Saccharomyces cerevisiae S288C: one gene and its partners. Each later gene encodes a partner of the first gene's protein in a complex. Each region holds a gene or a part of one and is shown in the gene's direction. Other genes may lie near its edges. The genes, in order: HHT1, STH1, VPS75 and HAT2.

Region 1 (6,028 bases):
GGAAAAACTAGTGATGCGAAATATTGTAGAGAAAAAGCGCAGGGCATTCCTATACTTAGTAATCACCATCATAACGTATTTTAAAATGAAGAAGCGAACCTCAAAGAATTTTCTATACAGAAGAGACCTTTCCGCGCATATACGCGGTAGCGTGTGTCAGCATCAGAGGTTTAGCATAATATATTGCAGAAAATGTGCTAGTAATATTGTTCTCTCTGTTGTCAATGGGCTTACAATTGCCGGCCATCAGTATATGGAGTATCAATGTTCCTTTTGATCGCCAACAAATACTACCTTTTATCCTGCTCTTCCTGCTCTCAGATATTAATGCCGAATTGTTTCATCTTGTCTGTGTAGAAGACCACACACGAAAATCCTGTGATTTTTCATTTTACTTATCATTAATCGAATGTATATCTATTTAATCTGCTTTTCTTGTCTAATAAATATATATGTAAAGTACGCTTTTTGTTGAAATTTTTTAAACCTTTGTTTATTTTTTTTTCTTCATTCCGTAACTCTTCTACCTTCTTTATTTACTTTCTAAAATCCAAATACAAAACATAAAAATAAATAAACACAGAGTAAATTCCCAAATTATTCCATCATTAAAAAATACGAGGCGCGTGTAAGTTACAGACAAGCGATCCCTATTCCATGCAAGTTCGGTAAGTAGCAGAAATAATCAAACTGTTTAAACCCAATTAAAATTAAATTAAATACCCTTTATATGTTTATAATTGTACATATTTCTCCTAAACCCGCTATAATACACTCATATTTGTAGAAGAAAAACCGGGCAGTTGAATACGAATCCCAAATATTTGCTTGTTGTTACCGTTTTCTTAGAATTAGCTAAATTAACCACCGAAACCGTATAAGGTTCTACCTTGTCTCTTCAAAGCATAAACAACATCCAAAGAAGTAACAGTCTTTCTCTTGGCGTGTTCGGTGTAGGTAACAGAGTCTCTGATGACGGATTCCAAGAAGGATTTCAAGACAGCTCTGACTTCTTCGTAGATCAAACCAGAAATACGCTTGACACCACCTCTTCTAGCTAATCTTCTGATAGCTGGCTTAGTAATACCTTGGATGTTATCTCTTAGAATCTTTCTGTGACGCTTGGCACCACCTTTACCTAGACCTTTACCACCTTTACCTCTACCGGACATATTTTACTATATTATATTTGTTGCTTGTTTTTGTTTGTTGCTTTAGTACTATAGAGTACAATAATGCGACGGAAACCATCATATAGAAAAAATATCTCGGTATTTATAGGAAAAAGAATTAGACCTTTTCCACAACCAATTTATCCATCAAATTGGTCTTTACCCAATGAATGGGGAAGGGGGGGTGGCAATTTACCACCGTATTCGCGGGCATTTGCTAAAGTAAACAACTTCGGTTTTTACCACTAACCATTATGGGGAGAAGCGCTCGGAACAGTTTTACTATGTGAAGATGCGAAGTTTTCAGAACGCGGTTTCCAAATTCGGCGGGGAGATACAAAAAAGATTTTTGCTCTCGTTCTCACATTTTCGCATTGTCCCATACATTATCGTTCTCACAATTTCTCACATTTCCTTGCTCTGCACCTTTGCGATCCTGGCCGTAATATCTCTCCTTGACTTTTAGCGTGGAAGATAACGAAATGCCCGGGCGATTTTTCTTTTTGGTACCCTCCACGGCTCCTTGTTGAAATACATATATAAAAGACTGTGTATTCTTCGGGATACATCTCTTTCCTCAACCTTTTATATTCTTTCTTTCTAGTTAATAAGAAAAACATCTAACATAAATATATAAACGCAAACAATGGCCAGAACAAAGCAAACAGCAAGAAAGTCCACTGGTGGTAAGGCCCCAAGAAAGCAATTAGCTTCTAAGGCTGCCAGAAAATCCGCCCCATCTACCGGTGGTGTTAAGAAGCCTCACAGATATAAGCCAGGTACTGTTGCTTTGAGAGAAATCAGAAGATTCCAAAAATCTACTGAACTGTTGATCAGAAAGTTGCCTTTCCAAAGATTGGTCAGAGAAATCGCTCAAGATTTCAAGACCGACTTGAGATTTCAATCTTCTGCCATCGGTGCCTTGCAAGAATCTGTCGAAGCCTACTTAGTCTCTTTATTTGAAGATACCAACTTGGCTGCCATTCACGCCAAGCGTGTCACTATCCAAAAGAAGGATATCAAGTTGGCTAGAAGATTAAGAGGTGAAAGATCATAGTTTGTTGATTGTCATCAGTTTTAGTAAAAAACGAACAAAAACACAATAAAATATAAATCAATATATTTAGGTTTACTGGGTTCTTTAACAGTTGTATAATAGTTATTTTTTATTACAAAAATATAGGTTTTAATAAAAAAAAATAGGGTTCTATTTGTTTTACATTTATTGATTTGTTTTTCCTGGCGATACCCTCGAAAAAAGCCAGGCCTTGTAGGAGGCAAGATTTATGGCTTTCCATGTGGTTAAAGAAAAATTGCAGCAGGAAGATATTCATTCATGAGTCAGTTATATAATCGATATATAGCTACATATTAAACAACTTGAAGCCGCATACGTGGTAGGTGTCTCATTTTCAATTCAAAATATTTTAAACAGAACCGGAGATGAAGAACCACTTGTCAATAGACTTGTCAATTGGAGCATCTGCCTTTGGAGAAGCTGGTGGGATGGCATCAGAGGCAGCCTTGGAGTAGGTTGGGGTGTCAGGCAAAGTAACATTGGTCAAATCAATACCCTTGCTGTCAGAAGACTTACCAGCAATTAATTGTTTCCAGGAGTCATGTGTTTCCTTGATGATATCCAAAGCGTACTTCTTGTTCTTAGCTTCACCGGAGAAGGCAAATTGGTTTTCTGGCTTACCATCTGGGATTTTGTAAATTCTGAACCATTCGTTAGTAGCCCTCAACAGACCTGGGAAGTATTTCTCAACATCCTCAATGTCGTTCAATTTTGGGGCTAATGGATCGTTAATATCAATGGCAATAACTTTCCAATCGGTCTCACCTTCATCCAATAAAGCCATGATACCTAGAGCCTTAACTTGCTTGACTTGACCAGTGTAAGCAATAGTTTCACCAATTTCCAACACATCAATTGGATCGTTGTCACCAACTGCCTTAGTTTCTGGGTGGCTTACGTTTGGGTCTTCCCAAGTTTGTGGGAAAGCACCATAGTTGTGAATGTAACCATGGTGAGGGAAACAGTTTCTAACAAATCTCAACTTGCCCTTCTTGGTGTCTTGGATGATTGGGTTCAAAGTTTCTTCCTTGGTGATTTCTAACTTGGCGTTGGTCCAACGTGGAATTTCAACAACCATGTTGAAAATGTTGTTTTCCTTGTCAGCGTACAAGGGAATGTCGTGGAAGGCAGAAACTGGCTTACCATCCTTTTCGATATAAACTTTGTATTCCAAGGTGTTCTTGGCACCAATTTGTCTGGTAGTGTAGGTCATTAGTAAATTGCGCGGCGGGATATCCTGTTCTATAGACCTAAGGGACAACAAATCAAAATAGATGATTAAGAAAGTAAGTATTCAAAAACAAGTTGTAAATGAACTAACCTTCCTAACTTCGACGCGACCTTAAAACGTCGAAAAAAAACGAGAAAAAGTCATCATGAGACTATCGTATCTAATGACTGTGGCTTCTCCCAACAACCTTAGCGTCTGCGATGACGATATTTTGAAGAACAGTCAAATCCGTTTGAATAGTGCGCCACACAGGGATAATAATAGCACATTGGCATCTCCTTCTGTGAATGAAACACTTCTACCTGGGCTTCAAAGTCCCGCAACCTTTTAGTTACATAAAATTCGGCGGCTAAATCATGATATTATATTGATGGGTAATGTAGCGTTCAGTAAAACGGTTCCTATGTATTACTATCACGTGGGTGGGGAAGACCACATTCTTAGAGAAGAGTAATCATTTTAGCAGATTATTTTTACCTTTTTCAACTCATGAACTCATGTTCAAAGGTACAATATATTACCCTTTCTTCAAAGTATCCGAATGATTTGAACCGCACTCTGAGGGAGCCATCAAATTCTATTGAGCGACTTCGAATCGAACAATCCAATTAAATCAGCCTTTAGCGCCATATTTCTCCTTGTATCCATTGTTTACTTCTCCCTTGTATCTTGTATATGAGAATTATGGGAATAAGATAATTGTTGGGATTCCATTGTTTTCAAAGGCTGTAATATTAGGTACACAGATTATACTAGAAGTTCTTTTCGAGGATATAGGAATCCACAAAAGGAAATCGATAGTTATACATAATAATATTATTGTATCTTACTTCCTTTTATATGTTGTCACTCATTATTGTGTCGTGCATTCCATTAGATTGGATGACTGTTTCTCAATCTTTATGCCATCCTCTTACACCGCATGTGATATAATAGTAACATGAGTGCTGCGAAATAGATGATATTAAAATTTCATTCCAACAAAGTTCCATATATATCCATATATATATATATATTTCACGAGGATAATGAGTTAAAATACTATGTAAAGGTATTGTGGTTCATTTTTCTTTTATCAATTTTTATCCAAGTTTTTCTGATCTATAACATGTCCAATACACTTTTTCGAACTATAACCGCCAACAAATTTATCTTATAGACGAGAAACACTTTTATGATATCGATGTTCTACACCTACTGCCGATAACACCGTGTTTTCACTATTATAGCATATACCATTTTTGTAACCAATGTGTTGTTGTAATTCTCCGCAAGGCATATCCCAGATATTCTTATATGGCCCATTTCCACTTCGTTGAAGCCTCACATCAAAAGAGCAATCTTGAGATAATTTCAAAACCACACACATCGCTGCAGTTTCATAATATCTGTCATCACTGATGCAATAATTAAGTGACGAAATTATATCATTATTAACAGCTGTATTATTATTATAATCAAGACAAGCTGAATTTGATGCAAATATATATTCCCATTCAGTGCCGTTTCTTTCGAATTTATAGAAATCACTTCTTTGTAGGTAATTGTTCTGGCTTACTTTGAGCTTATTCATGTTAAAGTAATTGTTGGAATAAAAATCCACTATCGTCTATCAACTAATAGTTATATTATCAATATATTATCATATACGGTGTTAAGATGATGACATAAGTTATGAGAAGCTGTCATCGAAGTTAGAGGAAGCTGAAGTGCAAGGATTGATAATGTAATAGGATAATGAAACATATAAAACGGAATGAGGAATAATCGCAATATTAGTATGTAGAAATATAGATTCCATTTTGAGGATTCCTATATCCTCGAGGAGAACTTCTAGTATATTCTGTATACCTAATATTATAGCCTTTATCAACAATGGAATCCCAACAATTATCTAATTACCCACATATATCTCATGGTAGCGCCTGTGCTTCGGTTACTTCTAAGGAAGTCCACACAAATCAAGATCCGTTAGACGTTTCAGCTTCCAAAATTCAAGAATATGATAAGGCTTCCACTAAGGCTAACTCTCAACAGACAACAACACCTGCTTCATCAGCTGTTCCAGAGAACCCCCATCATGCCTCTCCTCAACCTGCTTCAGTACCACCTCCACAGAATGGGCCGTACCCACAGCAGTGCATGATGACCCAAAACCAAGCCAATCCATCTGGTTGGTCATTTTACGGACACCCATCTATGATTCCGTATACACCTTATCAAATGTCGCCTATGTACTTTCCACCTGGGCCACAATCACAGTTTCCGCAGTATCCATCATCAGTTGGAACGCCTCTGAGCACTCCATCACCTGAGTCAGGTAATACATTTACTGATTCATCCTCAGCGGACTCTGATATGACATCCACTAAAAAATATGTCAGACCACCACCAATGTTAACCTCACCTAATGACTTTCCAAATTGGGTTAAAACATACATCAAATTTTTACAAAACTCGAATCTCGGTGGTATTATTCCGACAGTAAACGGAAAACCCGTACGTCCGATCACTGATGATGAACTCACCTTCTTGTATAACGCTTTT
Region 2 (9,753 bases), on another chromosome or scaffold:
GAAGAAAGCGTTGACATGTTTAACCACTATCTTAGCAAAAACTCCCAAGGACCACCTCTCCAAAAACGAATGCTCAGTAATATTTCAGTTTTACCAGTCTAAGCTTGATGATCAAGCGCTTGCAAAAGAAGTCTTGGAGGGCTTCGCCGCATTAGCTCCAATGAAATATGTCTCCATTAACGAGATAGCCCAACTTTTGAGATTATTATTGGACAACTATCAACAAGGCCAGCATTTGGCATCAACTAGACTGTGGCCATTTAAAATTTTGAGAAAAATATTTGATAGATTTTTCGTCAATGGATCCTCGACCGAACAAGTCAAACGAATCAACGATTTGTTTATTGAAACATTTCTTCATGTTGCCAATGGTGAAAAAGACCCTAGAAATTTACTCTTGTCATTTGCACTTAATAAATCTATCACATCGTCCTTGCAAAACGTGGAGAATTTTAAAGAAGACTTATTTGATGTCTTATTTTGCTATTTCCCAATCACTTTCAAGCCACCAAAGCATGATCCTTACAAGATCTCCAACCAAGATTTAAAAACAGCTTTGCGATCAGCAATTACTGCGACGCCATTATTTGCCGAAGATGCTTATAGCAATTTGCTGGACAAACTCACTGCTTCTTCACCGGTAGTGAAAAATGATACACTTCTGACGCTATTAGAATGCGTTAGAAAATTCGGCGGCTCTTCTATATTGGAAAATTGGACGTTACTTTGGAACGCTTTGAAATTTGAAATTATGCAAAACAGCGAAGGAAATGAAAACACTCTACTAAATCCGTACAATAAAGACCAACAGAGTGATGATGTGGGCCAATATACTAACTACGATGCTTGCTTGAAAATTATTAATCTAATGGCATTGCAACTATACAATTTTGACAAAGTATCATTTGAAAAGTTCTTCACTCATGTATTAGATGAGTTGAAACCAAATTTTAAATATGAAAAGGATTTGAAGCAAACCTGCCAGATTTTGTCCGCTATAGGTAGTGGGAATGTCGAGATATTTAACAAGGTCATTTCGTCAACTTTCCCCTTATTTTTGATCAATACATCTGAAGTTGCCAAACTTAAGCTGCTGATTATGAATTTTTCTTTTTTTGTTGACTCGTACATTGATTTGTTTGGAAGAACATCTAAAGAATCGTTGGGAACACCGGTGCCAAATAATAAAATGGCTGAATACAAAGACGAGATCATAATGATTTTGAGCATGGCCTTGACAAGAAGCTCCAAGGCAGAGGTTACCATAAGGACTCTATCTGTGATTCAATTCACAAAAATGATTAAAATGAAGGGCTTTTTAACCCCAGAGGAAGTTTCACTAATTATTCAATACTTCACGGAAGAAATATTAACGGATAACAACAAAAACATTTACTATGCTTGTTTGGAAGGGTTAAAGACAATCAGTGAGATATATGAGGATTTAGTTTTTGAAATATCATTGAAGAAATTATTGGATTTGTTACCTGATTGCTTCGAGGAAAAAATTCGAGTAAATGATGAGGAAAATATTCACATTGAAACAATTTTGAAGATTATTCTTGATTTCACCACTTCGAGACATATTTTGGTCAAAGAAAGCATTACATTTTTAGCGACAAAATTGAATAGGGTAGCTAAAATTTCGAAATCCAGAGAATATTGCTTTCTACTTATTTCAACCATATATTCTCTTTTTAATAATAATAATCAAAATGAGAACGTGCTAAATGAAGAAGATGCTCTTGCACTCAAGAATGCCATTGAGCCAAAATTATTTGAGATAATTACTCAGGAATCGGCCATTGTAAGTGACAATTACAATTTGACACTTCTATCTAACGTTCTTTTCTTCACCAATTTGAAAATTCCACAGGCTGCACACCAAGAAGAACTAGACAGATATAACGAGCTTTTCATTTCTGAAGGTAAGATAAGAATCTTAGACACACCGAATGTATTGGCTATTTCATATGCTAAAATATTATCCGCACTAAATAAAAACTGCCAATTCCCCCAAAAATTTACAGTGCTTTTCGGAACGGTTCAACTACTCAAAAAACATGCTCCAAGAATGACGGAGACTGAAAAATTAGGATACCTGGAATTGCTGTTGGTCTTATCAAATAAATTCGTCTCTGAAAAAGATGTGATAGGATTATTCGATTGGAAAGACTTATCAGTAATTAATCTTGAAGTGATGGTTTGGTTGACTAAAGGGCTGATAATGCAAAACTCATTAGAGTCATCAGAAATTGCAAAAAAGTTTATTGATTTACTGTCTAATGAAGAGATTGGCTCACTTGTATCGAAGCTATTCGAAGTTTTTGTCATGGATATCAGTTCTTTGAAGAAATTTAAAGGTATCAGTTGGAATAATAACGTTAAAATCTTGTACAAACAAAAATTCTTCGGTGACATTTTTCAAACACTAGTCAGCAACTATAAAAATACCGTGGACATGACCATTAAATGCAATTATTTAACTGCATTATCCTTAGTGTTGAAGCATACTCCAAGCCAATCGGTTGGTCCTTTTATCAACGATTTATTCCCGCTTTTATTGCAGGCTTTGGATATGCCTGATCCTGAAGTAAGGGTATCCGCTTTAGAAACTCTGAAGGACACTACGGATAAACATCACACTTTAATTACTGAACACGTAAGCACAATAGTTCCATTATTACTATCTCTTTCGCTTCCGCACAAATATAATAGTGTCAGTGTCAGGTTAATAGCCTTACAGCTTCTAGAAATGATTACGACTGTAGTACCTCTAAACTATTGTTTGAGCTATCAGGACGATGTTCTAAGCGCTTTAATACCAGTTTTATCTGACAAAAAAAGAATAATAAGAAAGCAATGCGTTGACACAAGACAGGTTTATTATGAATTAGGCCAAATCCCGTTCGAGTAAACGCTTGTATTTAATAATTTGTTCACATTGATGAGCACGTGAAAATCTTAGCGAGTATACTAAGTAAATATGATTCTTTTATGTATAGTACAGCAAAATAGCATTTATTTTTATTACGTTTAATCTTCTTCACTAGAGTCTTCCTCGTCGCTTAGTCCTACAGGTGCCAAACCCGGTGTCAGACCAGGATATCTATGATCTTTAACAAAATCGCTCTCTTTGATATCTTCCTTGAATTGTTTTCTTTTGAACCTTCTTCTTTTACTCCTGTCTGTGTTCGCAGTGGAAACTGTATCCTTCAAGATGGATTGCTGAATGTCTTCAAGCTCATCTCGTACTTCCTCTTCTAAATCCCACGACCTCAAATTTTGAGAATTCCTTTTGATTAACTTATTCAAATACTTCCTCTCATGGTCCGTTAATGTGCCCTCATGTTGATGTTTTTTCAAAACCTGGTGTTTTGCCAGTTGTTCAAGTTGCTCTTTATCTAATTTATGTTTCTTAACTTTTTTTTTTTTGACCAGTTTGCATTTTTTTTTAATTTTGTGAACGTCTCTGTTTTGTAACTGTACTCTCTTTTTCAAGTTCCTGTCGATTAACTGAGCTTTTGACCCATTGTTTACACTTGTTTTGCCATTATTAGCTCTGATTTTGGGAACGCCAGGCAAAAGGTTTGATAGCAGTCCATTAACAACCGAGGTGGCCTGGTATTTAGATGTTTGGCTCAGCGAAGATGACATTTTGGCCTAGCTAGCTCCCTCCTTAAGTTGTTCGTATTCTAAACAACTTTTCCACAAAACAATATTTCCACAGTTGCCAGCTATATTTCCATATTCCTTAGTTAAAGCTCATCGCAAAATTTTTCAAAGAGCATTAGGGTCACGTGTATACATTCACGTGACTATCTAGTACCCGCCCCGTGGCAAAAAAAGAAGACACCAATTTGGCACTGAGAAAAGAAAAAGTTTATCAATAACGAAAACGAAACTTAAGAGGAAAAAGAGTATAGAGAAAAACAAAGGCAATCAGCGGCTAATTTGGTGGAAATAACAACACAAAGAGGCAGCACAGTTTAGAGCAAGCGCGAATGCTTCAGGAACAATCTGAGTTGATGAGCACGGTGATGAATAATACACCTACAACAGTTGCCGCATTGGCTGCGGTTGCTGCAGCCTCTGAAACAAATGGAAAGCTGGGGTCCGAGGAACAACCTGAAATCACTATTCCAAAGCCGAGGAGTAGTGCACAGTTGGAGCAGCTACTCTACCGCTATAGGGCTATTCAAAACCATCCAAAGGAAAACAAGTTGGAGATCAAGGCAATAGAAGACACTTTTAGGAATATATCACGTGATCAGGATATCTACGAAACAAAGTTGGATACCTTGAGAAAGAGTATAGATAAAGGATTTCAGTACGATGAGGATTTATTGAATAAACACTTGGTTGCCTTACAGTTACTGGAGAAAGATACAGATGTCCCTGACTACTTCTTAGACTTACCAGACACCAAGAACGATAACACTACGGCGATCGAAGTAGACTATTCTGAAAAGAAACCAATAAAAATATCAGCAGATTTCAATGCGAAGGCCAAAAGTTTGGGTTTAGAATCAAAATTTTCTAACGCTACGAAGACTGCATTGGGCGATCCAGATACCGAAATAAGGATTTCTGCACGTATATCCAACAGAATTAACGAGCTGGAAAGATTACCTGCCAATCTGGGTACATACTCACTAGATGATTGTTTAGAGTTTATTACAAAAGATGATTTATCGTCCAGAATGGATACTTTCAAAATCAAAGCTCTTGTGGAATTGAAAAGTTTAAAGCTACTAACTAAACAAAAATCGATTAGGCAAAAGTTAATCAACAATGTTGCCAGCCAGGCACACCACAATATTCCATATCTACGTGATTCTCCTTTCACAGCAGCTGCACAAAGATCTGTTCAAATTAGAAGCAAAGTTATTGTCCCACAAACCGTTCGTTTGGCAGAAGAATTAGAAAGGCAACAACTATTGGAAAAAAGAAAAAAGGAACGTAATTTACATTTACAAAAAATAAACAGCATCATTGATTTCATCAAAGAAAGGCAGTCCGAGCAATGGTCTCGTCAAGAACGTTGCTTTCAGTTCGGTAGATTAGGCGCTTCATTACACAATCAAATGGAGAAAGATGAACAGAAAAGAATAGAAAGAACTGCTAAGCAACGTTTAGCTGCTTTGAAGTCTAACGATGAGGAGGCTTATTTAAAGCTTTTAGATCAAACTAAGGATACTAGAATTACACAGTTATTGAGGCAGACTAATTCCTTTTTGGATTCTTTGTCGGAGGCTGTTAGAGCACAACAAAACGAAGCAAAAATTCTTCATGGTGAGGAAGTCCAACCAATTACAGATGAAGAAAGAGAAAAGACTGACTATTATGAAGTCGCTCATAGGATCAAAGAAAAAATTGATAAACAACCTTCTATTCTTGTTGGCGGCACTTTAAAAGAGTATCAATTACGAGGTTTAGAATGGATGGTGTCGTTGTACAATAATCATTTGAACGGTATTCTAGCAGATGAGATGGGTTTAGGTAAAACCATCCAATCTATTTCTCTAATAACATATCTTTATGAAGTTAAGAAAGACATCGGCCCTTTCCTAGTCATTGTACCTTTATCCACAATAACCAATTGGACTTTAGAATTTGAAAAATGGGCTCCGAGCTTAAACACTATTATATACAAAGGTACACCAAATCAAAGACACTCTTTACAGCATCAAATAAGGGTTGGAAATTTTGACGTCTTATTGACAACATATGAGTATATTATTAAAGATAAATCTCTTTTATCAAAACATGATTGGGCTCATATGATCATTGACGAAGGTCATAGAATGAAAAATGCTCAATCGAAGTTATCATTCACAATTTCTCATTATTATCGTACAAGAAACAGATTGATTTTAACGGGTACTCCTTTGCAGAACAATCTACCAGAATTATGGGCACTGTTGAACTTTGTTTTGCCTAAAATTTTCAATTCTGCGAAGACTTTTGAAGATTGGTTTAATACTCCATTTGCCAACACCGGTACCCAAGAGAAACTAGAATTAACGGAAGAAGAAACTCTGTTAATTATTAGAAGATTACATAAGGTGTTAAGGCCATTTTTATTGCGTCGTTTGAAAAAGGAAGTGGAAAAGGATTTGCCTGATAAAGTGGAAAAAGTTATCAAATGTAAACTGTCTGGTTTGCAACAACAGTTATATCAGCAAATGCTAAAGCATAACGCGCTATTTGTTGGTGCAGGGACTGAGGGGGCTACAAAGGGTGGTATTAAAGGTTTGAACAATAAGATTATGCAATTAAGAAAAATCTGCAACCATCCATTCGTATTTGATGAAGTGGAAGGTGTTGTAAACCCCTCAAGAGGTAATAGTGATTTACTTTTCAGAGTAGCGGGCAAGTTTGAATTACTGGATAGAGTGCTACCGAAATTCAAAGCCTCAGGCCACAGAGTGCTAATGTTTTTCCAAATGACTCAAGTTATGGATATTATGGAAGACTTCCTAAGAATGAAAGATTTGAAGTATATGAGATTAGATGGTAGCACTAAGACTGAAGAAAGAACAGAAATGCTGAATGCATTTAATGCTCCAGATTCAGATTATTTCTGTTTCCTTTTGTCAACTAGAGCCGGTGGTTTGGGTTTGAATTTACAAACTGCAGATACGGTGATCATCTTTGATACAGATTGGAATCCACACCAAGATTTACAGGCCCAAGATAGAGCTCACAGAATTGGACAAAAGAATGAGGTTAGAATTTTAAGATTAATTACCACTGATTCCGTAGAGGAAGTTATTTTGGAAAGAGCTATGCAGAAATTGGACATTGACGGCAAGGTTATCCAGGCAGGTAAGTTTGATAACAAATCAACTGCAGAAGAGCAAGAAGCTTTTTTGAGAAGATTGATCGAAAGTGAAACGAACAGGGATGATGATGACAAAGCAGAATTAGATGACGATGAGTTAAACGATACTTTGGCCAGAAGCGCTGATGAAAAAATACTATTTGATAAAATTGATAAGGAGAGAATGAACCAAGAAAGAGCAGATGCTAAAGCGCAAGGCCTGAGAGTCCCTCCTCCTAGATTGATTCAATTAGACGAGCTACCCAAAGTATTCAGAGAAGACATTGAAGAACATTTCAAGAAAGAGGATTCTGAACCATTGGGAAGGATTAGACAAAAGAAAAGAGTTTACTATGATGACGGTCTAACTGAAGAACAATTTTTGGAGGCTGTAGAAGATGATAATATGTCTTTAGAAGATGCCATTAAAAAAAGACGTGAAGCACGTGAAAGAAGGAGATTACGTCAAAATGGTACAAAAGAGAATGAAATAGAAACCCTGGAAAACACGCCTGAAGCATCCGAAACTTCATTGATTGAGAACAATAGCTTCACTGCAGCTGTGGATGAGGAAACTAATGCTGATAAAGAGACTACAGCTTCCAGGTCAAAACGCCGGAGTAGTAGAAAGAAAAGGACCATTAGCATTGTTACGGCAGAAGACAAAGAGAATACTCAAGAAGAGAGTACATCTCAAGAAAACGGGGGCGCTAAGGTGGAAGAGGAAGTAAAAAGTAGCTCCGTTGAAATTATAAATGGTTCAGAATCCAAGAAAAAGAAACCGAAACTGACCGTCAAGATCAAACTAAACAAAACAACTGTGTTGGAGAATAATGATGGTAAGCGAGCAGAAGAAAAGCCAGAGAGTAAATCGCCCGCGAAGAAGACTGCAGCCAAAAAAACTAAAACTAAATCCAAGTCGCTTGGGATTTTTCCCACGGTGGAAAAATTGGTGGAAGAAATGCGCGAACAGTTAGATGAGGTAGACTCCCATCCAAGGACGTCCATTTTTGAAAAGCTTCCTTCGAAACGCGACTATCCGGACTATTTTAAAGTAATTGAAAAACCCATGGCCATTGATATTATATTGAAAAACTGCAAGAATGGCACTTACAAAACTTTGGAGGAGGTAAGGCAAGCCTTACAAACGATGTTTGAAAATGCTAGATTCTATAATGAAGAGGGATCCTGGGTTTACGTTGATGCTGACAAGTTAAATGAGTTTACTGATGAATGGTTCAAGGAACACTCTTCGTAACGTTTTCATCACCACATGTTTTTTTTTTTTACGACTATATCCCTTTCCCCTCTAATACTCTTTCTAGCCTTTTTTTCTACCTCTACATATGTTTATAAAATATATACCACTGTAACAATAAGATCGACAGAGCGAATATAATTCTTTGAGTAACTAATATCCTTTGGCTTATTCTCTGGGCTTATTAGTGCCGCAAAATAATTACCCGGCGGCGATGGACCAGTTAGCTTCGACCGTTTGCGATTCCGGGGCTAAGGAAGGGGCCTCTGCAAATAAGAAAGAGGCATTACACATAAATGATTGGCAAAGGGACTGCGGGAGTCAAGACCTACATGTAAGTCCGATTTACGATAACGGTTTAGATTCATTGGGTGTGTACTATTTATACTTTAACAAACCCGTGTGTTATTTAATAAGATCATATCTTGTTTGTTTTTCGCCCTCAATTTTGTTTCTGTCACATAGTCGCAGCAGCTGAATATAGATAGGAAGAGAGAAGGAAGCGATTCTCGTTCAGCATCATACTTCTTCCTAATTTCCCCAAATTAAAGTTTCGTTTGAAAGAAACAACAAAAGAGAAAGAAAGCAGTTTTTAGAAAATACTAAATTTTACCGTTATGCTAAGGTTCGTGTCTTCGCAAACCTGCCGGTATAGTTCAAGAGGACTATTAAAAACATCTTTACTTAAAAATGCATCTACTGTCAAAATTGTCGGAAGAGGGTTAGCCACCACTGGTACAGATAATTTTCTATCGACATCAAATGCCACCTATATCGATGAAATGTACCAAGCTTGGCAAAAAGACCCATCTTCAGTCCATGTTTCATGGGACGCATATTTCAAGAATATGTCTAACCCAAAGATTCCAGCTACAAAGGCTTTTCAGGCTCCTCCCAGTATCAGTAACTTTCCCCAGGGTACCGAAGCAGCTCCCTTAGGGACCGCAATGACTGGTTCAGTAGATGAGAACGTCTCCATTCATCTAAAAGTGCAATTGCTATGTAGAGCTTACCAAGTTAGAGGTCATTTAAAAGCCCATATAGATCCTTTAGGGATCTCATTTGGTAGTAATAAAAATAACCCTGTTCCTCCGGAATTGACTCTAGACTACTACGGCTTTAGCAAACACGATCTTGATAAAGAAATCAACCTAGGACCTGGTATCCTGCCAAGGTTTGCAAGGGACGGGAAATCTAAAATGTCTCTGAAAGAGATTGTGGATCATCTAGAAAAGTTATATTGTTCCTCTTATGGGGTACAATACACACATATTCCATCTAAGCAAAAGTGTGATTGGTTAAGAGAGAGAATTGAGATTCCTGAACCTTACCAATATACAGTGGACCAAAAGAGACAAATCTTAGATAGATTAACATGGGCCACTTCTTTTGAGTCATTCTTATCTACAAAATTTCCAAATGATAAGAGGTTCGGTTTAGAAGGTTTGGAAAGTGTTGTTCCAGGTATTAAAACTTTGGTTGATCGTTCTGTTGAATTGGGTGTAGAAGATATTGTTTTGGGTATGGCTCACCGTGGTAGATTGAACGTTTTATCCAATGTGGTCCGTAAACCAAATGAATCTATTTTTTCTGAATTTAAGGGTTCGAGCGCTCGCGATGATATTGAAGGATCGGGTGATGTCAAGTACCATTTGGGTATGAACTACCA
Region 3 (6,599 bases), on another chromosome or scaffold:
TTTCCAAATGAGGAGAAGCAACTGCGAACCAACTTGCATAACTGTCAATACAACTGCGAACTACAGTTGTCGAAATGTGCTTATTGGCAACAAGACTAGTGGTTCCAATGCTTACATTAGATGGTAAATTTATAATGTTTTTGTAAAATGAAGATGACCAGCCAGATACCTCTCCATCATTGCCTATACCATTAAGATTTTCTCTTCCCAAAAGTCCTTCAATGTTCCATTCATACAAGCGGCTCAGTTCATAAGCAATGTATTGATGAAGATCAAAGATATGAAAATGTTTGTCTCGTAAATGAGAGTATTCATCTAAAAAGTACTTCAATTTGGGGACGCCCATTTCGGGTACAAATTTTCCTCCCAAATAATCCAAAAGCTGTTGTGGACATTGCATATTTAGCCATTGACATTCGTTTACGGCAGAAGAGTCCATCCAAAATATGACATTATCTTCATTTGGATACGGTATCAGCATGTTACTTGTGCGATCCCTTTCGAAAATAGCTAATGAACACGTTGCAGAAACACCACATGACTTTACCTCATATTCTCTAATGTTCAGTTTCTGAAGACACTTTTGAAGGGCTTTAATTATTTCAGTTGATTTTTGCCAGAATTTCCATGACTTCTTTGAAGAATCCTGGTAGTATGGGACTGGTTCCTGCGCCATTTCTAACAGCGCATCATTGTAGTAATTATATACACCTATTCTAGCACTTGATGAACCTACATCAATTCCGATGCCAACTTGCAGACTGCTATTCATGATTTCACCTATATAACACGTTGGTTTCTCATTTAAAGTTACCTTTATTGAAAAAAATAAACTGATACATTTTTAAATTTCAGCTTACTAAGGTGCTAGAAAGCCGAACTACGCTATGAATTAATATTGAATTTATTGCGAAGTTTAAAATTATTGTAAAATATCTATTTGTACATATGTATCTTCTCAGAAAAAATAGCGTATATCTATGTAGTTATTTTTGTTTTTCTCTTCCTCTCATCAGGAGGACCGTCTTATATTTTGCTGCTTTATAGAACCATCTAGCAAAAAAAAAAACCAGAGCAAACCAAATGCTCAGTATATACCTCTAGGTAACTCTAACGTCTTGGACCTCTTCCTCTTCTTGTCATTTCAGGTAGCTTAAATGGAACTTTCATAGTGGCAATTTTATAAGAAGCTGCAGTACTTTTTGGAATGCCAAAAGCCTCAGCTTGAGCCACTGTGGCACCTTTGACAATAGCACCAAGTACCCTGAACAAACTGACAACTTTGGAAGGTTTCAAGTTCAATTCGTGTGCTAAGGGTGTGATTTCAACAATGAAGTTATCCAAATGCATTATGATTGCCAAGATGTAGCATAAGATTTTATCTTCATTTTGTGGGTCAATGAAATAGGAGCGATCCTTTGATCTTCCAAACTGTCCAGGCTTTATCACGGTAAATCTGCTTAAGATACCATCTACCAAGATTTCAGGAGGACTGTTCAACCTTTCTAACAACTTCGTCTTGTTATTCACGCGTCTATTTTCGTATACGCCCAGTAATAGTGATAAGTAGTATAGTAGCTGTAATTTGGTCATTTGTGAAGGTTGTGTCAAAGAGTCCAATTTCTTTGCCACATACTTGGAATTGTTTTGGTATGGGAACAATTCCAACTTCTTTTCCTTATCCGCTTCTTTCAGAATTGATGAAACGCGAATAAACTGTAATTCCTTCTTTGGTATTATACTTTCAATTGGGTAAATTTGTTCTACATCAGTGGCATCGATATTGGCTAATGGAGTAGGTCTATCGTTGGAAGTAATTTCATCCAATTGAGCCCGAGTTGGTAAATCCTTAGATGCAGTTCTCACGGAATCCACAATGTCAATAGCAGAATCAGTCAACTTATCAGAGTCAATACGGTTTCTTTCTAGATCTGCAATAGCTTTTTTAGCCTTTTTAGTACCAAACGCTTCACCCAACGCATTTCTCAAAGCAGATGGACGAGTATCACTCTTACTTTTTATTTTTGGACCCCTTAGATTCTTGCTTGACTTGGATACAACTTTGGAAACAAGTACGGGAGCCTTGTAGAGTTGAATACTTTTCTTTTCTGGATTAAATAGGCCCACAACATACTGGTTCGAAGCTTGGGAAGAAGAATCAGTATAACCTTCGTATTCTAGTCTCTCGTTTTCACCGTGTAATACGAATTCGTCCTTTTCAGACTTCTTTTTTTTGTATAAGTCGAACGTAGTGTCACTGGGAGCACGGAAGCCCTTGAAGAAACTTCCCACGGCAACAGAGGGTTGATCTTGAACACTTTCAATTTCGATTTCAGAAACAGACCTTTTCACGGACATTACTAGATAAAGTGCAAAAGGTTGATAACGACTGCAATAGTGGTAGCAACTTAAAAAGCCCTCCTAATATCATTAGTGTTCATGCAAGAATACTTACTATTAAAAATGAGATGGAAAATTTCAGCTCATCGCAATAAAAAATTTTCAGCGCGGGTGACCGCAAACATTTTTCATCGCGAAGAGTCAAAAGACATTATCAATTGAAAAGAACAGTATTGCTAATTGGCGTCGGTGATTAGGTGTCCGGTCAAGTTCTTATTCTATGCATGAATATCTTCATAAAAGCCCTGAGAAGATATACTATAATGTCTACGCCGAAGATTGTGCAGCCCAAATGGAAGGTTCCAACGCCACAAGCTAAAGAAACTGTGTTGAAGTTGTACAACAGTTTAACAAGATCTAAGGTTGAATTCATTCCGCAATCTGGCAATAGAGGTGTCACTTGGTACTCTTGCGGTCCTACTGTTTACGATGCCTCCCATATGGGTCATGCCAGAAACTATGTCTCTATTGATATCAATAGAAGAATTATTCAAGATTATTTTGGTTACGACGTGCAATTTGTGCAAAATGTTACTGATATCGACGATAAAATTATTTTGAGAGCTAGACAAAACTATTTATTTGACAATTTTGTCAAAGAAAATGATACCAAATTCAACGCCACTGTTGTTGACAAGGTCAAAACCGCACTTTTCCAATATATCAACAAAAATTTTACTATTCAAGGCAGCGAGATCAAAACTATCGAAGAATTTGAAACTTGGTTATCGAATGCTGATACTGAAACTTTAAAATTGGAGAATCCTAAATTCCCTATGCATGTCACCGCAGTTCAAAATGCTATTGAATCAATCACTAAGGGCGATTCCATGGACGCAGAAGTTGCCTTTGAAAAAGTCAAGGACGTTACGGTTCCTCTATTGGATAAAGAATTGGGCTCTACCATTAGCAATCCAGAGATTTTCCGCCAACTTCCAGCTTACTGGGAACAGAAATTCAATGATGACATGTTATCATTAAACGTGCTACCTCCCACCGTTACAACTCGTGTTTCTGAGTACGTTCCAGAAATTATTGACTTTGTTCAAAAAATTATTGATAATGGTTACGCATATGCCACTTCCGACGGTTCCGTGTACTTTGATACTTTAAAATTTGACAAATCCCCAAATCATGACTATGCTAAATGCCAGCCATGGAATAAGGGCCAGTTAGACTTAATTAATGATGGTGAAGGGTCCTTAAGCAACTTTGCTGATAACGGAAAAAAGTCGAATAATGATTTTGCTTTATGGAAGGCTTCCAAGGCAGGTGAACCTGAGTGGGAATCACCATGGGGTAAGGGTAGACCAGGATGGCATATTGAATGTTCTGTGATGGCCAGTGATATCCTAGGCTCTAACATCGATATTCATTCAGGTGGCATCGATTTGGCCTTTCCTCACCATGATAACGAATTGGCTCAATCCGAGGCTCGCTTCGACAATCAACAGTGGATCAACTATTTCTTACATACGGGCCATTTACATATTGAGGGTCAAAAAATGTCTAAATCCTTAAAGAATTTCATTACCATTCAAGAAGCTTTGAAAAAATTCTCACCGCGCCAATTAAGATTGGCTTTTGCCTCAGTACAATGGAACAATCAATTGGATTTCAAGGAATCTTTGATCCATGAAGTAAAGTCATTTGAAAACTCCATGAACAATTTTTTTAAGACTATTAGAGCATTGAAGAACGATGCAGCTTCTGCAGGTCATATCTCTAAAAAGTTTAGTCCCTTAGAGAAAGAATTATTGGCTGATTTTGTTGAAAGTGAATCGAAAGTCCATTCGGCGTTCTGTGATAATTTATCCACACCTGTTGCTTTGAAGACACTGAGCGAATTAGTGACCAAGTCAAACACATACATTACCACTGCAGGTGCTGCTTTAAAAATTGAGCCCTTGATTGCTATCTGTAGCTACATCACCAAAATCTTAAGAATAATTGGATTTCCATCCCGTCCTGACAATTTGGGTTGGGCAGCCCAAGCTGGCTCCAACGATGGATCCCTAGGCTCATTGGAAGACACTGTTATGCCATATGTTAAGTGTTTATCCACATTTAGAGATGATGTACGTTCCTTAGCTATCAAGAAAGCCGAACCCAAGGAATTCTTGCAATTAACGGATAAAATTAGAAACGAAGATTTGCTAAACTTGAATGTTGCCTTGGATGATAGGAATGGACAATCTGCCTTGATCAAATTTTTGACTAACGATGAAAAATTGGAAATTGTCAAGCTAAACGAGGAGAAACATGCCAACGAACTAGCAAAGAAACAAAAGAAATTGGAACAGCAGAAATTAAGAGAGCAGAAGGAAAACGAGAGGAAGCAGAAAGCTCAAATTAAACCACAAGATATGTTCAAGGATGTCACATTGTACAGTGCTTGGGACGAGCAAGGCCTTCCAACAAAGGACAAAGACGGTAATGATATCACCAAGAGTATGACCAAGAAGTTGAAGAAGCAATGGGAACAACAAAAGAAGCTACATGAAGAGTACTTTGGTGAAGACAAATAGAATACTCGTGGCTTCGTTATGTGTGCAACTATTCAAAAGTACGTATATATGTATATACCATCTTTTTTTACGTTAAAATAGTGAAAAAGGAAAGGAGGAAAGAAAAAACTAATATAATTAATTGTATTATATATGTACTTTTCATTTTGGAATGTGAAAAAATTCCAGGCGGAAAAAATTGAAAAAATCAAACACTGCGCTTGTGAGAAAAGGGAAGAAAAGCATCCTAATGATTAGGCGCTTGATGTTGACGACAAACATTTCGAAGCATAACACTGCCAATGATGAGTGACCAAGAAAACGAGAACGAGCAGTATGTAGGATTGAGCTCTGCAGGGCATGAAATGGAAAAATAAAGCAACCCATTATACTAACAATATGCACTTAGCAAGTGCGGTAGATGGTCAGTGCAAAAGCATTCTTAGGATTGGCTAAATGCGAAGAAGAAGTGGACGCTATTGAACGTGAGGTAGAATTATACAGATTGAACAAAATGAAGCCTGTTTATGAAAAGAGGGACGCGTATATTGACGAAATTGCAGAGTTCTGGAAAATTGTGCTTTCACAACACGTTAGTTTTGCGAATTACATAAGGGCTTCAGATTTTAAATACATTGACACTATAGATAAGATCAAAGTAGAATGGCTGGCATTGGAGTCTGAAATGTACGACACTAGAGATTTTAGTATAACATTCCATTTCCATGGAATTGAGGGAGACTTCAAAGAGCAGCAAGTCACCAAGGTGTTCCAAATCAAAAAAGGCAAAGATGACCAAGAAGACGGGATACTGACTAGTGAGCCCGTTCCAATTGAGTGGCCCCAGAGTTACGACTCGATAAACCCGGACTTGATCAAAGACAAACGCAGTCCAGAGGGTAAAAAAAAGTACAGACAGGGAATGAAAACCATATTTGGCTGGTTCAGATGGACCGGCCTAAAACCCGGGAAGGAGTTCCCGCACGGCGACTCATTGGCGTCATTGTTCAGTGAAGAGATCTACCCTTTTTGTGTGAAGTACTATGCTGAGGCCCAGAGGGACTTGGAAGACGAAGAAGGAGAATCCGGGTTAAGCGCAGATGGCGACAGCGAGGATGACGATGGCAGTCTCGGTGAGGTGGACTTGCCACTATCCGACGAGGAACCAAGCTCTAAGAAAAGGAAAGTTTAGTAGTCTAGGTCCGGAGCGGGCTTGGACAACGGTTTCCCTCGTTGCGACATTGCTCTTTTTTTTGTTGAGTCTGGAGTTCTTCTTTGTTGTTTAGTTACCTTAAACTTACTCATTGGATCATCTTTAAGCAATTTTGACTTCTTCTTCTGCGAACTTATGGATGTTGCGGCACCAGAAGCGGAAATAGTAGTGGCCGCCCTTACAGGCGGTGTTGCAGGTTGGTTTAGTATAGATGAATCTAGTTTTTTCTTACCTAATAAATAGTCTTCCTTTTCGTCACTCAGTTTTGCATCCTGATACATCCATTCCAAGCCCGACTTCTTCAAAGCCAAGTCATTCTTGAGAGTCTCCGGCTTATCCTTGCTCGATTCGTTCAGCAGTTCATTTAGTTCTCGTTCTTTTTCAATTTCTTTCAATCGCGTGTTAAGCTTCTGCTGTTCGGTAATTAGATCCTGTTCGGTCTCCCATACTTTTTTTCTATTTTTCATAAGCTTGGGATT
Region 4 (6,918 bases), on another chromosome or scaffold:
TTGGATGGTGACAAAATTTCCACTTTGTTTGCAAAGTTCTTGTCTAAACAACTAGAATTGGCACACCTAGAACATTCTTTGAAGATTGGTGTTGTGCAAACTGCCTATGCAAACGGCAGTTCCACCGCTTACATAAAAAATACGTTGCACTGTCCCGTGTCTTGCACTAAGACAGGTGTTAAACACTTGCATCATGAAGCTGCCACTCAGTACGATATTGGCATTTATTTCGAAGCAAATGGACATGGTACGATTATATTCAGCGAAAAATTTCATCGAACTATCAAATCTGAATTATCCAAGTCCAAGTTAAATGGTGATACGTTAGCTTTGAGAACTTTGAAGTGTTTCTCTGAATTGATTAATCAGACCGTGGGAGATGCTATTTCAGACATGCTTGCTGTCCTTGCTACTTTGGCGATTTTGAAAATGTCGCCAATGGATTGGGATGAAGAGTATACTGATTTGCCCAACAAGCTGGTTAAGTGCATCGTTCCTGATAGGTCAATTTTCCAAACCACGGACCAGGAAAGAAAATTGCTCAATCCAGTGGGGTTGCAAGACAAGATAGATCTTGTGGTAGCCAAGTATCCCATGGGAAGAAGCTTTGTCAGAGCCAGTGGTACGGAGGATGCGGTGAGGGTTTATGCGGAATGTAAGGACTCCTCTAAGTTAGGTCAATTTTGTGACGAAGTGGTGGAGCACGTTAAGGCATCTGCTTGAAAGCATTATTCGATGTATAGTATAGCTATTTAGATATACAGAGAGATAAATGAAAGAGAAAAAATATTGGTATCAATCAACGTTTGTTACAGGCTTAGACTTTGGTTTGGTAATTGAAATTCATGGTAGTGGAAATAAACAAAATTTTCCTCTTCAATTTTTTTCGTCGTTTCGCTCTGCAATCGAAAATCAAATAATCTTCATAAAAGAAATCACTTTCAATAAATGAACTTCTCACTACCATAATGGATGATGTGGCCGATTCGAAAGCAATACGGTTGATTAACACGGAAACCCCGAGTGATAAGTCACCAAAAAAAATTCTCTTTACGATGAATGTTCCGAATTTGTTCTCCTCTTTACAGTTTTCGTTGGAAAGGTATTTATATGTAATTTCCTTCAGAATTCTCTTGTTTTCTATGTTGGCATTGTCGAGATGAACCTGTTTCAGTATGGCATTGGGAAAAAGTGTAGCTTGTAACTTTAAAACTTGATCATGCAGTGTTGCAGCTAAATTATCCAGAGTAAAAATTTCCTCTTTGGAGTAAATGCCTAGCAAGTTTTTCAGCTGACTACTCCAACCTCGCCTGGCCCTGTGCTTTCTACTTACACAATCTTTGTGATTTGGTGGTAAGGTTTTTGGAAAATGAGGAAGAGTATCTAGTTGTTGGGTAATGTTTCTTTCCAAGAATGATATTTTTTTCATTATGACGTCAATTTCTTTAGAATAAGCCGAGAACTGTACAGTTTTAAAACCCTTTCTGTTGTCATTCCTCTGAATCCCATCATTTGCCATTTAATTTTCAATTTAGTTACTAGTCAATTTTCTTTTTCGCCTTTTGTATTCCATAATATGAATATAAGCTTGGGCTTGCCGATTTTCTCCGCTTAATATTAAGCCTACGCATGATGTAGGTTACATTTTGAAGGGTTTCTTTTAACTTCCTTACTTATTTATATATGTATGAACCTACACAAGGCATTTTACCCTTATTTCTTCCCGCAACATTTGATAAAAAGTGGAAGACGTTTGTGATTGTTATTATCGCCCCAATTTTCTCCTTTTTTTCTTTTCCTTCAACGTCAATCAATTGCACATTCAGCCGATTGGCTTTCTTAGCGCAGGATAGGGTGTCGGGGATACCTGTGGGAAGTTAGTGACACTTTTTTTTCCACTCTCTTCATGGAATCCCCGGACGGCAGCCGCCCGTCCCAATTTTGGCAAAATTGACATCCTAACTGCACGAATTCTCATCGCGTATCAGAACTCTTGAGCCTTCAGTTTTACTACTCAATGCTCTGATTTATCTATATATACATAAATGAAAATAATACGTGCGCATTTATAAGACAAAAAGTTAGAATTCTGACCACGATTGCATGCTGTAGATAATTGTCGTGTTCATTCTCTCTTTAACGGCGCCTCAAGAAGAATATAAAATAATTGCTCTTGCAGTCTCAATGAGTCGGTATGTTCAAAGTGGTGCCCAACATTTACTAATATTGGACTGCGGTACAAAATCGGCGGCTAAACTGTCTACCGATAAAATACTCTTGATTTATAAGAATGAAAAAGAAAACAAAAAGGGATGACCCCTGAAAAAGTTTGTTTTCTTTACCCTTTTTTATGTTAAATTTTACATTTATTACCGTTTACGTCAATCGCAATATACAGGTGGGGCATTGTTATTTGATTTCATAATCTGGTGAGAACGTTATCACGCGGATTATTTAGTTTTTTTAAACCATGTGCGAAGAAATTCTCATATATTGTAGGCATTTCTGACTCAAACTTCTGCTGCTTAAAATAGCTGTTTTCACCTTTTTTTTCCTCTTGTTCTATTTGACATGCTCCCTTTCTTCCTCGGTCCTTTCAACCATTTCCATGCTCCTGTAGGCTCAGGAGCAGAGCGAGGAAAAAACTTCCCTACAGAAAGCTTTCATGTTTTTAACCGGTTTCCTTTCAGCTTTTTCTTTTGGAGTAATCTAGAAAGATTAGGTCATTTGTTCAGTCTATTTGATACTTGATGAGTAGCTCGTCTGTTCTGTTCAAAATAACAATTTGTGAGGTGTACGGATGTTTTCACTGGCATTCGTCGACATGACAAAGACAAACCTTGAAAATAATAATGGAGAATAACTAGAAAGACGTTACTATGCCTCTAATACTTCTGCCTCTCTTATCTCTCCTATCAATTGTGGTTAGCCTAGTAGTCACCAAATAGCAAATTACCAATCAACTATGGAAAACCAAGAGAAACCGCTTTCTGTAGACGAGGAGTACGATTTATGGAAATCCAATGTTCCATTAATGTATGACTTTGTTAGCGAGACACGTTTAACATGGCCATCTTTAACCGTCCAATGGCTCCCTACTCCTGTTCAAGAATTAGATGGTGGCTTTATTAAACAAGAATTAATCATCGGTACGCACACTTCTGGTGAAGAAGAAAACTATTTGAAATTCGCAGAAATTAATCTACCAAAGGAAATTCTTAGTAATGAAGACCCACAAGAAGAAGCAGGAGAGGAGTATCAGTCCTCTCTACCTGCTCCTAGGTCAAATATAAGGATTACCGCTAAATATGAGCACGAAGAAGAAATCACTAGAGCCCGATATATGCCTCAAGACCCTAATATTGTCGCCACAATAAATGGGCAAGGCACAGTTTTCCTCTATTCTCGCTCAGAAGGTCTTCAGTCAACACTAAAATTTCATAAGGATAACGGTTATGCTTTATCATTTAGCACTTTGGTCAAAGGGCGATTGCTTTCCGGCTCAGATGATCATACAGTCGCTCTCTGGGAAGTGGGGAGTGGCGGTGACCCTACAAAACCAGTACGAACTTGGAATGATTTACATTCTGATATTATTAATGATAATAAATGGCACAACTTCAATAAAGATCTATTCGGCACTGTTTCAGAAGATTCTCTCTTAAAAATAAATGACGTCAGGGCAAACAATACTACGATCGATACTGTGAAATGCCCGCAACCTTTCAACACATTAGCATTTAGTCATCATTCCTCAAACCTCCTTGCGGCCGCAGGTATGGACTCGTATGTTTATCTATATGATCTAAGAAACATGAAGGAACCATTACACCATATGTCGGGTCATGAAGATGCAGTGAACAATTTGGAATTTTCAACCCATGTTGACGGTGTAGTTGTATCCAGCGGGTCAGACAATAGATTGATGATGTGGGATTTGAAACAAATTGGAGCAGAACAAACACCTGATGACGCGGAAGACGGCGTTCCTGAATTGATCATGGTCCACGCAGGTCACAGAAGTTCAGTGAATGATTTTGATTTGAACCCTCAAATACCTTGGTTGGTAGCAAGTGCTGAAGAAGAAAATATTTTACAAGTTTGGAAGTGTTCCCATAGTCTACCCATCGTGGGAGGTCCACCAAAGGTGAACAAGGATATAATAAGCTAATATATAGTTTTTTTATTGTTTCTTTGGCGAAAAGGCGTAATTAAACAAAGATCAACATACATAATCCGATTTTGAGGAGTGATAAAATATACTTAGATTATTCCTTATCCATTACAGTTTGCTTTTTTGAAGATAGCCAATTGATGAAATCAATAAAAATGTTAGGTCCACATTTTCCTTTTTGCATCCACTCTTTGGTAGTTGCAGTATACAAGTCAATCAATTCGTCAAGCTTGTCGTTACCACCGATTTCAACGTATAACTTACTCAAAAACAGTGAGCTGGTTGAGCACATTGAATAAAACACTGCAGCATGCTGACCTGGCTTAGAAGTCAGCATCAGCTTGTGTGTTTTTTTCAACAAATCCATAAGCTCGATGTCTTTGTTCATGTCTTTGAATGCAGTTACTTTTATCTTGAATATTTTACCCTTCAACAATTTAGAAATTTTGTCGGCAAGTGGCCTATCAAGAGTTTCATTGACACATTTCAGCATTGGGATAATAAAATAAACGAGCTTGCTTAATGAGCCTCCTAAATTGTTGGAATGTTCACTTTTATTAGCAAGAGTCAATTTTTCACAATATTTGACGTAAACGGCTAACATGTCGACAACTCTATGCTTGAACGAGATAACGTTTTCCCTAGATTGTTTTACCTCAAATTTCCTCTGGTTTCCAGTAGATATGCTTGATAATGCTTCCTTACGACGTTTGAAAATTTCGGATAACTGATCATCTAATTCCATCATTTTTTCATCATCCATAGACTCCTCATCTTCATCGTCTCCACCGTCGTCAGAAAGCCCTTCGAGTTGGTCTAAGTCAACTTCCCCTTTATCATTAACTATGTTATCGGGTAAATTTAACGCCTTCACTAAGGCGCTAGTGGCCTCTTTATCAATATTCAAAATATCTTCATTTGCCTCGTCTTCTTCATCTTTTTCATCAGCATCATCGCTATCACTCTCACTTTCACTTTCACTTTCACTACCAGTTTTCGATTCGTCTTCACTGGCATCATTTTCTTCCTTAATTTCTTCAAATTCTTCTTCTCCTTCGAATAGCTGGGCAAAACCTTGCTTGTTTTCTCTCGCTTTTAAAATATCTAATAAAATTTGCAATTCTTCCAAACCAACTTCTTCAATAAACTGCTGCCAGATTATTAAACTCAATTTCCTGAGTAAGGCCTTCTTTTGGGCTAAAAGTGATAGTAAGATTTCAGTGATGCCTACCATTGAGTTATTCTCGTGTTTGGAAAATTCGCAAAGTTCTTCGATCACAGAAATAGAATCGGTGTCACCTGCATATAATTGTACTAAGCACATAGATAACAACGTGCTTAGACCCCAAGATTGAGCAGTTCTTGATCTGCAAACTTTACTCAAGCAAGATATAGCTTCGTTTTTTATATTTTCTAAATTTTCGTCCAGTGGATTGATTAAATCTCCTACATGAGAATTTTCAATGTCCAGTATTAACTTTAATGTCAGATATTGCCATGAGTTTATTTCAGGATCTTTGCAACGTATTTCTTTGTTTATTGTCAACTCTCCCAGGATGGAATAAAGTCTTTCCTTGGCTAATTCGTGTAGCTGTTCTAACTTCAGATCATCTGATGTATGTTTGAAGAAAGCCATATATACGATGGGTCTCAACACGGGCTTCATTATGTCCATGTCATTGATTTCGACTTTGTGTGCACGAACTATATGAAGGATGGAATCAAGAGCAAAAAGGGTATGAGATAAAACTCCCTTTTTATCTTGTAACTGTAGAAAAAACACATCGAGTAATTGGGCAAGAACAGTAGAAGGTAATTCTTTAATTGCAATAAGTTTGGAAACGGTGCCAGATTTTGTTAACTTATCAAAGTTTATGGAACCGTGAGGACCAAATAACATTGCATTTAAACAAGGTACTAGTCTGTTTGCAGAATCTTCTTCACAAGCCTTCACTATGGAGTCTAAAGTTAACTGGGAAATCTTATTTAAAACTCTTTGTGAATCTATTGATTGGTTGATCAATGTTCTCATAACGTTTTGGCTGAAGCAAAACCCGATGTACGAGCCAGGAACTGCCTTGAAAGCCGCGTCGATTATTAGAAAGCCTAAATATTTTCTTTCACTAGAAGCTTTCTCATTGAAAAATGATTCGTCCACGGCCATTTTCCAAAACTCTGGAAATTGAATTGAATTCTGAACCTTTTTATTGTTGGTTTTCTTCCTTTTCTTCGAAATATGACTAGTGTTCTCTAATTTTCCATTACCAAACAACGGTAGCAGAACACTCCAAACAAAATGCAGCCTAGGGTTCCAATTCGTGTTTTTTTGTTTTTTCGTCTCTTTTAAACCTCCATTGGCATCCGGAATTACAGAAGAGTTTCTCAATACTTTTGTTAAAAGGGGCAGATTTCCTCTTGCCAGAGGGTCGTTATCCTTCCAACCTGGATTTTTCAAATCCAACACCGAGGGAATTAGACTTTCATCACCTTCATATTTCAGCAACAAATAAGTTGACAGTCCCTCATTTGTCAGAGTCAGGTCATATTTATCATATATCAGAAGAATTTTTTCAGCGGAACTTTCATCCATAAAAGGTAGCAGCATTTTCATAGTCTGGAAAAGGGTAAAAAAGCATGGTTCTTTGATCCAGTTTTTCTTCAGGGCCAGATCAATTAGCTGTTCCGTGAATCGAATGAAAAACTCGGTGTTTCCTTTTTCCAAATCTTTAACAAATATTTCTGAG

What was found.
Region 2: the proteins of HHT1 (region 1) and STH1 are in contact, whole or in part, in a crystal structure (PDB 6KMJ), measured with the Saccharomyces cerevisiae proteins. Residues at the interface, in NP_009564.1 of Saccharomyces cerevisiae: Thr7 (codon at 1,837), Ala8 (codon at 1,840), Arg9 (codon at 1,843), Lys10 (codon at 1,846), Gly13 (codon at 1,855), Gly14 (codon at 1,858), Lys15 (codon at 1,861), Ala16 (codon at 1,864), Pro17 (codon at 1,867), Arg18 (codon at 1,870), Lys19 (codon at 1,873), Leu21 (codon at 1,879); in NP_012140.1 of Saccharomyces cerevisiae: Asp1267 (codon at 7,803), Asp1270 (codon at 7,812), His1272 (codon at 7,818), Arg1274 (codon at 7,824), Ser1276 (codon at 7,830), Ile1277 (codon at 7,833), Phe1278 (codon at 7,836), Pro1282 (codon at 7,848), Tyr1287 (codon at 7,863), Asp1289 (codon at 7,869), Tyr1290 (codon at 7,872), Val1293 (codon at 7,881), Ala1329 (codon at 7,989), Phe1331 (codon at 7,995), Tyr1332 (codon at 7,998), Asn1333 (codon at 8,001), Glu1334 (codon at 8,004), Gly1336 (codon at 8,010), Ser1337 (codon at 8,013), Trp1338 (codon at 8,016), Val1339 (codon at 8,019), Val1341 (codon at 8,025).
Region 3: the proteins of HHT1 (region 1) and VPS75 are in contact, whole or in part, in a crystal structure (PDB 3Q33), measured with the Saccharomyces cerevisiae proteins. Residues at the interface, in NP_009564.1 of Saccharomyces cerevisiae: Thr12 (codon at 1,852), Gly13 (codon at 1,855), Gly14 (codon at 1,858), Lys15 (codon at 1,861); in NP_014153.1 of Saccharomyces cerevisiae: Ala69 (codon at 5,509), Asn70 (codon at 5,512), Tyr71 (codon at 5,515), Ile72 (codon at 5,518), His196 (codon at 5,890), Ser199 (codon at 5,899).
Region 4: the proteins of HHT1 (region 1) and HAT2 are in contact, whole or in part, in a crystal structure (PDB 4PSX), measured with the Saccharomyces cerevisiae proteins. Residues at the interface, in NP_009564.1 of Saccharomyces cerevisiae: Ala2 (codon at 1,822), Arg3 (codon at 1,825), Lys5 (codon at 1,831), Gln6 (codon at 1,834), Thr7 (codon at 1,837), Ala8 (codon at 1,840), Arg9 (codon at 1,843), Lys10 (codon at 1,846), Ser11 (codon at 1,849); in NP_010858.3 of Saccharomyces cerevisiae: Arg32 (codon at 3,059), Leu33 (codon at 3,062), Thr34 (codon at 3,065), Trp35 (codon at 3,068), Pro36 (codon at 3,071), Leu38 (codon at 3,077), His64 (codon at 3,155), Thr65 (codon at 3,158), Ser66 (codon at 3,161), Glu69 (codon at 3,170), Glu120 (codon at 3,323), Thr122 (codon at 3,329), Gly139 (codon at 3,380), Asn162 (codon at 3,449), Tyr164 (codon at 3,455), Asn212 (codon at 3,599), Asp213 (codon at 3,602), Glu229 (codon at 3,650), Asn255 (codon at 3,728), Thr256 (codon at 3,731), Met272 (codon at 3,779), Asn299 (codon at 3,860), Asn300 (codon at 3,863), Asn356 (codon at 4,031), Glu373 (codon at 4,082), Asn375 (codon at 4,088).

The regions. Positions count from the first base shown.
Region 1 is NC_001134.8:254,513-260,540, forward strand, and holds HHT1 (histone H3), read left to right. Parts: upstream 1-1,818; coding exon 1,819-2,229; downstream 2,230-6,028. Other genes in the region: HHF1 (histone H4), read right to left, coding at 861-1,172; inorganic diphosphatase IPP1, read right to left, coding at 2,600-3,463; YBR012W-A (gag protein), read left to right, coding at 5,357-6,028. UniProt on the Saccharomyces cerevisiae protein: Core component of nucleosome. Nucleosomes wrap and compact DNA into chromatin, limiting DNA accessibility to the cellular machineries which require DNA as a template.
Region 2 is NC_001141.2:113,988-123,740, forward strand, and holds STH1 (RSC chromatin remodeling complex ATPase subunit STH1), read left to right. Parts: upstream 1-4,004; coding exon 4,005-8,084; downstream 8,085-9,753. Other genes in the region: MET18 (Met18p), read left to right, coding at 1-2,917; RRT14 (Rrt14p), read right to left, coding at 3,037-3,657; alpha-ketoglutarate dehydrogenase KGD1, read left to right, coding at 8,702-9,753. UniProt on the Saccharomyces cerevisiae protein: Catalytic component of the chromatin structure-remodeling complex (RSC), which is involved in transcription regulation and nucleosome positioning. RSC is responsible for the transfer of a histone octamer from a nucleosome core particle to naked DNA.
Region 3 is NC_001146.8:180,251-186,849, forward strand, and holds VPS75 (Vps75p), read left to right. Parts: upstream 1-5,209; coding exon 5,210-5,241; intron 5,242-5,336; coding exon 5,337-6,099; downstream 6,100-6,599. Other genes in the region: MPA43 (Mpa43p), read right to left, coding at 1-772; DNA-directed RNA polymerase I subunit RPA49, read right to left, coding at 1,111-2,358; CRS1 (cysteine--tRNA ligase), read left to right, coding at 2,625-4,928; U2-type spliceosomal complex subunit CWC25, read right to left, coding at 6,096-6,599. UniProt on the Saccharomyces cerevisiae protein: Histone chaperone which acts as a cofactor stimulating histone H3 acetylation by RTT109. Preferentially stimulates histone H3 'Lys-9' acetylation by RTT109. May also stimulate histone H3 'Lys-56' acetylation by RTT109. Assembles nucleosomes (in vitro).
Region 4 is NC_001137.3:44,203-51,120, forward strand, and holds HAT2 (Hat2p), read left to right. Parts: upstream 1-2,965; coding exon 2,966-4,171; downstream 4,172-6,918. Other genes in the region: phosphoacetylglucosamine mutase PCM1, read left to right, coding at 1-723; SDD1 (Sdd1p), read right to left, coding at 818-1,519; POL5 (DNA-directed DNA polymerase), read right to left, coding at 4,269-6,918. UniProt on the Saccharomyces cerevisiae protein: Regulatory subunit of the histone acetylase B (HAT-B) complex. The complex acetylates 'Lys-12' of histone H4 which is required for telomeric silencing.